Linked DNA regions of Macaca mulatta. The protein of the gene in region 1 purifies or fractionates together with the protein of each later gene. This does not show direct contact. Links are inferred from orthologs where the notes say so. Each region holds a gene or a part of one and is shown on either strand. Other genes may lie near its edges.

Region 1 (4,463 bases):
GAGGCCGAGATAGGACTGCTTGAGGCTAGGGGTTTAAGACCTGCCTAAGCAACATAGCAAGACTTCATCTCTACAAAAAAAATTTTTTAATTAGCTGGGTATGACTGGTGCGCTCCTGTAGCACCAGCTACTTGGGAGGCCAAGGTGGGAGAATTGCTTGAGCCCAGGAGTTTGAGGTTGCAGTGAGCTATGATCCTACTACTGCTCTCCAGCCTGGGGGACAGAGCGAGACCCTGTCTCAAAAAACAAAAAGAAGATGACTCCCACAGTGGCGGGGGATGAAGTGGGAGGGAGAGGGCAAGTAGGAAGTAGGATGGCCCAGCCCACTTTGGGCATGACAAGAAAGTGGCCTATTCCACAGTCCAGCAGGCTGGCAGGGGTGCAGGAGAGCCACCTTCTGGACTCCAGAAGGCAGGTTTGGAGTCCTCTGCACAGAAGTTTCAGGGGAGGGAGCACAGAGATAAGATGCAGGTGGGGAGGCTGAAATTAGGGGACAAGAGGGAGAGACTGAAAGGAGAGAGGATGAAGAGTAAAATCCCATGGGCTCCAGTGTTGCAGGGTTCGAGGAGGATCGGCTGCAGCCACAGGGCACCAGGTTTAAGGACGGAGGGGCCGCTGGTAACCTCGGGGAGTATAAGGAGGGAGAAAATCTGGACGCATTTCCATGGAAGGCTTTTTGGAAAACAGAAGAGAGCTGAGCAGGGGGACAGGGAGAAACACAAATAACTGAGATGCTGATGGGAAAAAAAAAATCACTACTAAAGAGGCAGGAGTGCAGACCTTTCTAATTCATATTGATATTCAGGGTCAGAAAAGAGTATACAAGGAAGGAGATTCTGAGATGATGTCGGGGAGTACAGAGCAGGCTGAAAAAGACGCTGATGGGAAAAGTGCAGACGGGCGTGGGGGTGGAGAAAACACACCCCTCCTCCCCTAGGCTACCCACTGGGTTATCCACTTTGCTCACCTTCACCTGGCCGTCTGCTTGCCAAGTGTGCTCTGTCACCAAAATCCAACCAGATCACAGCCGCCTGCTGCAGGGTGCTTCCCTGTTGCCCCCAATCAAAAATTTTGGAATCATACCCTTGGTTCCCCCAGAGTTATCTGTGAACCCAAGTGATCTCCTAAGCTAGACAGTAAGGGCCTGGGAGGGCCATGCCTCACATCTGGGTCAACAGTAACCCATGGTGTAGATCTTCACTCGAGAGCAGGTGTAGAGAAATGCTGACATTTCCAAATGAAGAAAACCAGGCCAAGCCTTCATTCAACAAATGTATAGGGAAAGGAACAGGAAGAGGCTTAGGAGTCAGTGACCTGGCCGGGCGTAATGGCTCACACCATTTTGGGAGGCCAAGGCGGGTGGATCACTTGAGGTCAGGAATTTGAGACCAGCCTGGCCAACATGGTGAAACCCCGTCTCCACTAAAAAAAATACAAAAATTAGCCGGGTGTGCCTGTAGTCCCAGCTATCAGGAGGCTGAGACAGGAGAATCACTTGAACTTGGGAGGCGGAGGTTGCAGTGGGCTGACATCACACCACTGCACTTCACCCTGGGTGACAGAGCAATACTCCACCTCAAAAAAAAAAAATTTTTTTGGACAGGAAAATTTGGACAGGAAGTTTTAGAAAGATCCATGCCTCCCAAACTGGTAGTGCTTAGAGGTTTCTCATGAAATGATCTTAGGTGATTTTCCCCGACTCCTGCCGTCCCTGCCCGCCCCCTGCTCCCCGCCCCCCACCTCCCCACTACATACTCTAAACTGTAGCACTTAGCTATTAATAACTACTATCTGTAGGACACTTAACAGTTTACAGAGCACTTTCATGTCAGTAACAAGAACTTGCTAATTAATAATCACTGGGTGTTAGCACTGTTAATTTAGTGACAGTGTTGCAAACTGGCTAGCTGTGCACTTCTCTCACCTTGGATCAGCTAACCAGTCATGCAAGCATGCAACTGGCCTGTCAGCTCTCTTCGGGTCTGGAATTCTTACTTGCTGTGGTCTCTACTCCCAAAGGTCCAAATCTGGCATAGGCACTGTTCTAAGTGCTTTTTCACATGCTTAATTTTCACATAATCCCAACACATTTTTATATCTCCATTTTCCAAAGGAAGCAACTGATGGGTGGAAAGGCTAAGAGCTTCAACCAAAGGCACAGAGAAATCGGGGCTGGAGCCAAGATTTGAACACATGATCTGACCCTGTGTCCTCACTCTTAATCACTATGCTGTGCTAGATCATTCTAGCAAAATGCTTATATGGTGCTTTGCACAACACAGGTATTCAGCAAATAAAGGCAGCTGTGATTAGCAGAACACAGGCAGTTTCTAGTTCCCACGAGTGTCACCTCCAGGAGAGCAGCGACCTTGTCTGTCTGGATGAATGCAGCGCTCCCAGCACCTGACCCAACGCACATTTGAGGGATGGATAGAAAATGAATGAATGAAAGTCCCTCCCAAATAGCAGAGCTGCCTACGCATGACTCTTTTTCGCACGTCTGTGTCGCGCTATCGATACTGACCCTTCTTAAGCGCATCAGGCGAATTTGAGGACACAGAGAGGTGCCCAAAGACGTGCGATCTGCGCCCGGTGCAGGGTGCAGGGGTGGTGGAAGCAGCTCCCAAGGGATCAGTCTGAGATCTCGCTGTTGCTGACGGGTCCGGGCTCCGGCGAGGCTCTGCCCTGCACCCAGCAGGGACCCTGCCCGCCCGAGCGCCGGCACCCGCGGGAGACAAAGACTCGCCGGGCCACTGCGCCGACAGAAACGCTCGTTCCCCTCGCCCACCTCTCCGGGATGCAGCCTAGCCCCCCGCGGGTCCCTGGCCTGGGAGCTTCGGCGGCGGCAGGGTCCGGGCCCTGGGCGAAGAGGACACGCGCCGCGCATCTCCTGGCCTCGCTGGTGCCCGCGAGGGTCGCTCGGGCACTGGAGGCCGCGGGCCCCGGCCTGTCACCTTCAGGGCCGCCTGCCCACCCGCCGGCCGCAAACCCTTCAAGCACGAGCCGCCCCCGCCGCCGCCCAGCTGAGTCTCCCCGCGCCTCAGCCTCGCCGCGCCGCTCGCCTCGCGCCCCGCACCCCGGCGCCGCCCCCAGGCCCGCCCGGCCCGTACCTGCTGGGAGAGGGGGATGAGTGGCGCCGCCATCTTCCCGCGGACTCGGGCTCCGAGCGCCGGGGGAACGGGGGCGGGGCCGCTGCCACGCGTGCGCACTGGGACGACGGGAGGGCGGTGCGCACGCAGCCTGTCTCGGGAGGGGGCGGGACCGTAGGCAGGGCCACGCACGCGCAGTCAGGCCGGCAGGGGCAGGGGCGGGGCCGCGCGCCGGCAACTTGATGGGCGGGGCCCGAGGCGTCTCCGTGCAGTGCTCTCTTGCTCGCTGTCCCTGCCCCTGCTTCCAACGTCGTTCAGACTCTCGTACCGCCGGCCGCTGGCCGAGTCGGCCATGCTCTGTCATCCCTCCAGCCCATGCCGAGGCCTGGTTCTCTGTTAGGGAGGCCGTCCCCCTGCCAGTGCGCCTGGGGAGGCGGTTGCCCACCCCGCGGAGCGTCGGGACCGTCACCCTGCCTCGCAAGGCGCCCTGTTCCTAGGATCGCAGTGTGTGTGTTCTAATCTGGGGGACCCGCACCCTGCCCCCCTCACCCTGCCCCGCAAGGCGTCCTGTTCCTAGGATAGCTCTGTGTGTGTGTGTGTGTGTGTGTGTGTGTGTGTGTGTGTGTGTGTGTTGTAGTCTGGGGAACCCGCACCCTGCCCCGCAAGGCGTCCTATTTCTAGAATAGCTGTTGTAGTCTGGGGAACCCGCACCCTGCCCCGCAAGGCGTCCTATTTCTAGAATAGCTGTTTGTGTAATGTTTTATAATCTGGGTCTGCCCGTTAGGGTTTTGACTAAGCTCAGGCGCAGAACTTCACCTCTCTGTGCCGCTGCAGCACCCACAGTGCCAGGTGCCAGGCATGATTCCCCTGCTGCTCTGTGTGTCCTGGCAAGTGGTTGAATTTGCCTCTCTGGGCCCTTAGGCCCCTCTTCTGAAAAGAGAGAATGGTAATACGTGTTTGTTATTGTTACACATCTATGTCCCTCACTGCCCGGCACAGAGCAGCTGGCACCTGATGCTTGCTGTAGTATGGTTATTAGAGGAAAAGCACTATTCTAGAGGACTTTTTCTTTTATTTTACTTTATTTTGTCTCACTCTGTCAACCAGGCTGGAGTGCAGTGGCACGATCTCGGCTCACTGCAACCTCGCCTCTCAGGTTCAAGTGATTCTCATACCTCAGCCTCCTGAGTAGCGGGTATTACAGGCATGCACCACCATGCCCGGCTAATTTTTGTATTTATATTTTTATTTTATTTTTGAGACGGAGTCTTGCTCTGTCGCCCAGGCTGGAGTGCAATGGCGTGATTTCCACTCACTGCAACCTCTGCTTCCCAGGTTCAAGCAATTCTCCTCTCTCAGCCTCCCTAGTAGCTG
Region 2 (4,494 bases), on another chromosome or scaffold:
AACAGGATGGACAAACTGGCCTCAAAGTTCTGACGGGAACCCTGGGATACAGTTATTTTAGTGCTTGGGATACTGTAGGCATGCATTCAGGACCCTGATTTCCACCAGAGGTTGTTAGCTTTTTGGTAGGGAGGCTTTAAATTTTTTTAAAAATTTCTTTATAAGCATCTGTTTCTACAAATTCCATTTTTGTCCTGCCGAGGATTTGGTACCTCCTTTAGAAGGAAAGAGGACTCAAGGTGAATTGCACCAGGTCTAGAACCCCAAAACACAAATGACATTGGTCAAAGGACGGGAGAAAAATGAAGACAAGCTATGTGCCTTACAGGAATAAAAAATAGGTTTTACCTCTCAGGCCAACTCTCTGGAGCACTATGTTGTGAAGGATTCTGGTGCTTTGACTCTCAAACATGGGCTCCAAAAGGGCACATCAGTTACCGGTGAAGTGTGCAATGCGAATGAGGCCATGTGCTCAAGACTGCTATCCTTGGCCTGGGTAGTTTGTTTGTAGATGGGGACAGATTGGCTGGTCCCCAGCAAGTGAGGGGCCTCCTAGACTGATACAAGAGTTAGGCCTCTCTGTGTCACTGAGGCTCAGGACCTGTTTGTCAGGTCTTGGTCAGGTTCTAATCGAAGAGTTAGGAAAAACACTGAGTGTGAGAGCGGGAAAAGCCTGTTTATCGTCATCGAAGTTTGGTAAATTCCTTGTGAGCTGGCTGGCCAGTTCAGATGGGCCTGGGTTTGGAGCCATTTCACCTTCACCTGCCTCAGCAGGTAAGGAATGAAAGGATGCCATGGGGTAATTTGATCTACACAGATCAAATCATGGGGATATGAGTTATGGACCCCGGACCAGCCCTCACCCTGCTTCTAAAAGTCAAAAGAAATCTTGGGTCTTGGCGGGGAGTGGTGGCTCACACCTGTAATCCCAGCACTTTGGGAGGACGAGGTGGGCGGATCACCTGAGGTCAGAAATTGGAGACCAGCCTGGCCAACACGGTGAAACCCATCTCTACTAAAAATACAAACAGCTGGGTGTGGTAGTGAGTGCCTGTAATCCCAGGTACTTGGAGGCTGAGGCAGAAGAATCGCTTGAACCTGGGAGGTGGAGGTTGCAGTGAGCACAGATCAATCGCACAGATCGCGCCACTGCACTCCAGCCTGGGCAATGGAGTGAGACTGTCTCAGGGAAAAAAAAAAAAAAAAAAAAATAGAAATCTTGGGTCTTATATCCAAAAATCTTGAGTCTTACATTTGGTTACTTTTTTTTTTTTTTAGACAGAGTTTTGCTCTTGTTGCCCAAGCTGGCGTGCAGTGGTGCAACCTCAGATCACTGCCTCTCAGGTTCCAGCGATTCTCTGCCTCACTCAGCCTCCCGAGTAGCTGGGACTGCAGGCGCCTGCCACCACGCCCGGCTAAATTTTGCATCTTAGTTTCACCACGTTGGTCAGGCTGGTCTCCAACTCCTGACCTCAGATGATCCAACCGCCTCGGTCTCCCAAAGTGCCGGGATTACAAGCGTGAGCCACTGGGCCCAGCCGACATTTGGTTACGTTCATTTGGTTACGTTCATACACTAACTCCTCCCTCACACAAATCAAAAGAAAGCCTTTCCCTTGACGGAGCTTCTTGTCAAGGGCAAGCCTTTGGGATACGGTGGCGACTTGAGTTGAAGCCTGGTCTTTTGTGAGGAGACCAGGAACCGGGAGGGGAGAAAAGAAACAAATTCTGAGTTTGACCTTGGCCTTTCCCTTGGCGAGGGGTGGGGAGGAAAGTTTAGCTTCGTCGTGCTAGGCTCTACGGGGACAGAGTCTTCCTACTGTGTGACTAGCGTAGAGGATGCTCCTTGTGGGCGCTCCGCGTGTGTTATGGAGGAGGGCGAGGAATGGTGAATGGATGATAGAGGGTATGGTTAAGTCCTCCAGGTCCCTGAGAAGGGTTCAAGAGGCCTGTAACAGACCCATGGGCAAGGGTGGGATCGACCTCCTTCCCACCTTCCACCCCCCAATTCCCAGAGAATTTGTGCCCCCACATCAGTGAAGAAAACTTCGGCGAGTGAGAAGGTTCCAGGGAGAGCCCCGTGGCGGGGTGCAACAGGGATGTGGCAGGCACTGCTTGGGACTTTCCAAAACACCGGGGTCTGCCGTGGCAGGAAAAGCACCACCCAAGCTCAACATGTCACCTCGGAGAGGAGGAGCCAGGTGGGTCTCCGCAGCTCCAGGAAGGGCTGCCGGGTCTGGGGCTTCGGGGCCTCCCCGAGGGCAGAGAGGAGCGCTTCGGACCCGACCGATTCGGAGCAGACTTTCAGGGTTCAGTGCCCCGGAACTCCGGGGGTGAGGAGCCACGCCCGGGCAGTTTCGGGCTCCGGAGGGTGGGGAGTCGGTGCCCGGCAGCGGGCGGGCCGTCAGCTGCCCGGCCCGGCGCCTACCTCCCCGCCCCCCGGCTTCCTGCGGAGGCCGCGGCCGCCATGTTGTTGTGGGGCTGAGGCGGCGCCCGCGGAGCCCTGAGCGGCCGTGACAGGCTACGCAACAGGTTCGCTGGCGGCGGCCTGACGACCAAGCCGGCTGCAGCGGCGGCGACGGCGGCAGAGCAGGGTCTCCCGGCGGCTGCCCGCGCCCAGACTGCCGGTGCTGAGGAGCGCGGAGTCGTGCTGTGACGTGCGGGAGGCGCGGCGAGGGCGCCAGGTGGGTGAAGCCGCTAGCGGGGCTGCCGGAAGGCGCGGGGCAGGTGCGGGCGCCGCGCCCGCTGCCGGGAGGCTCCCCCGGCCGGGCTGAGGCGGCTGCGCGCTCCGCACGACGGGGACGGGTCCTCGGGAGCACGGGCGGCCCCCGAGCTAGGCCCCTGGCGGGCTCGGCCGTGCCGGGCGGAAACCTGCGGCCCCGGGTTCCTTCCCCTGCCGCCCGGCCGGGGGGGACGCCGAGGGGGCCTGGGCTGGGCTACCCCTTCCTTGCGGCCGAGCCCGGGTCCCCGACCGCGGCCTCGTCTGGCAGGTGGCGGACGCCGGCAAGGGTCGGGGGGCGGCGTGGCCCTCTCACTTTCGGGGTGCGAGCAGAAGAGAGCTCTGGGGGCACCCGCACGCCTCCTCCGGGACCCATTTTATTTTCGCGGAGTTGGTTTTCCTTCCTGGCAAGGGTTGGTGCGGAATGTCAGGTGAGCCGCATCCCAGTGCGTCAAAGTAGCCCGAGTCACGAGAGGACAGTGGGCGGATGCTTGGCGTCCACCGCTCGCGTTCCTCCGGAGTTGGAAATGTTAAATTTACCTTCAGCGTTATTGACTTCCAGAATATACAGGAAGCACCGAGAGATGTAATCTCTCAGGCCAGATAAAGTTTATTTATTTATTTATTTTTTTAAAAAGACGTCTGCATGTGCATAGTGAGTGGGTAAACCGAGGCTGAAACTGCAGATGGCTTTGCATCCTGTAGAAAGATGCTCCATTTGGATTTATTAATTATGCGCTTTGTCGCTCCAGAATTACCAATGGCAAGTGTGCTTTATTTGAAACTTGTGTTAATACCGAAATAGGAATATGTTTTGATGAAGCCAACCCCGTTATGATAGGAATTAAGGTTAGCACAGAAATGACTTGCTTTGCTCTGTGCTTCTAGTTTGTTTCACAGTGTTTGCTTGCTTACTCAGGAATAGGCAAGGTGTGACTTGAAATTTTACGTTGTTAGCTCAGTTTAGGTAGCATAAGCTCTTGTAGGTTAAAGCTTCTTAAGCATTTCGAAAAATTGCCTCTCTCCCTGTGCTGGTGTGCTATGTTGTTAATCAGTGGTAAAACCTAAAAGCTACCTAGAAACATCGCATAAAACATTTACACGAATTAGTAATGACTTCCTTCAAAATTTAAAGATATTGACAACTCTGATGTGTTTACCTTGAGCTTTTTTTTGGTCCGTGCCTGTCAGCCTCTTGTAATTACAAAAGTAAATAAAGTGGATGTATTTGATGTTTTTGAAAACGTGGAAAAAATGTTCATTGCAGCTATTTTGATGTAGTATTAATAAGCAGTTGAAAAGCTTGCATTTTTTCTCCCTTCCATGTATTGATAACTATTCCCTGTGCCCACCTTTATAATGAAAGGTAAACTCGTCCGAGAAAACTTGACCTGTACAGAATTATTAAGCAGGAAGGTACCATTTTTCAATACCTCTCAAGGCTAAAATCTTGCTCTCTCCTGAATATGAGGAGGTGTATTAGGCATGTTCTGGGGATTGGATTAATAGTGTTAAAAAATTTGTATTTTCACAAAAATAGCACGTACCCGTCACCCAAACTCAGCAGCTTTCAAGAAGCTTTTTTTTTTTTCTTTCTTATTTTAAAAAATCATCTAACCTTATGTAGTTAGTGTATCTTTTTTAAAGAGTGGGAAATTTCGTATGTAACCTTAGGATTTTTAGTTTTAATGTAGAGTTTCACAAATTTCCATCTTTAGTAAGACAAAAGGATCACATATTGGCTGTCTCCTTCAACTATGCTTTGTTCAGTATAA

Evidence for each region. The genes of interacting proteins can lie anywhere in the genome.
Region 2: the proteins of EPS15L1 (region 1) and ITSN2 purify together in Homo sapiens (affinity purification with mass spectrometry; 5 studies listed by BioGRID and IntAct, with this or other methods). This does not show direct contact. The link is inferred for Macaca mulatta from reciprocal best matches to the Homo sapiens genes EPS15L1 and ITSN2.

What each region holds. Positions count from the first base shown.
Region 1 is NC_133424.1:16,958,313-16,962,775, forward strand, and holds the start of EPS15L1 (epidermal growth factor receptor substrate 15-like 1), read right to left. Parts: upstream 3,169-4,463; 5' UTR 3,144-3,168; coding exon 3,111-3,143; intron 1-3,110.
Region 2 is NC_133418.1:100,660,963-100,665,456, forward strand, and holds the start of ITSN2 (intersectin-2), read left to right. Parts: upstream 1-1,626; 5' UTR 1,627-2,201; intron 2,202-2,562; exon of another isoform or gene 2,563-3,150; intron 3,151-4,494.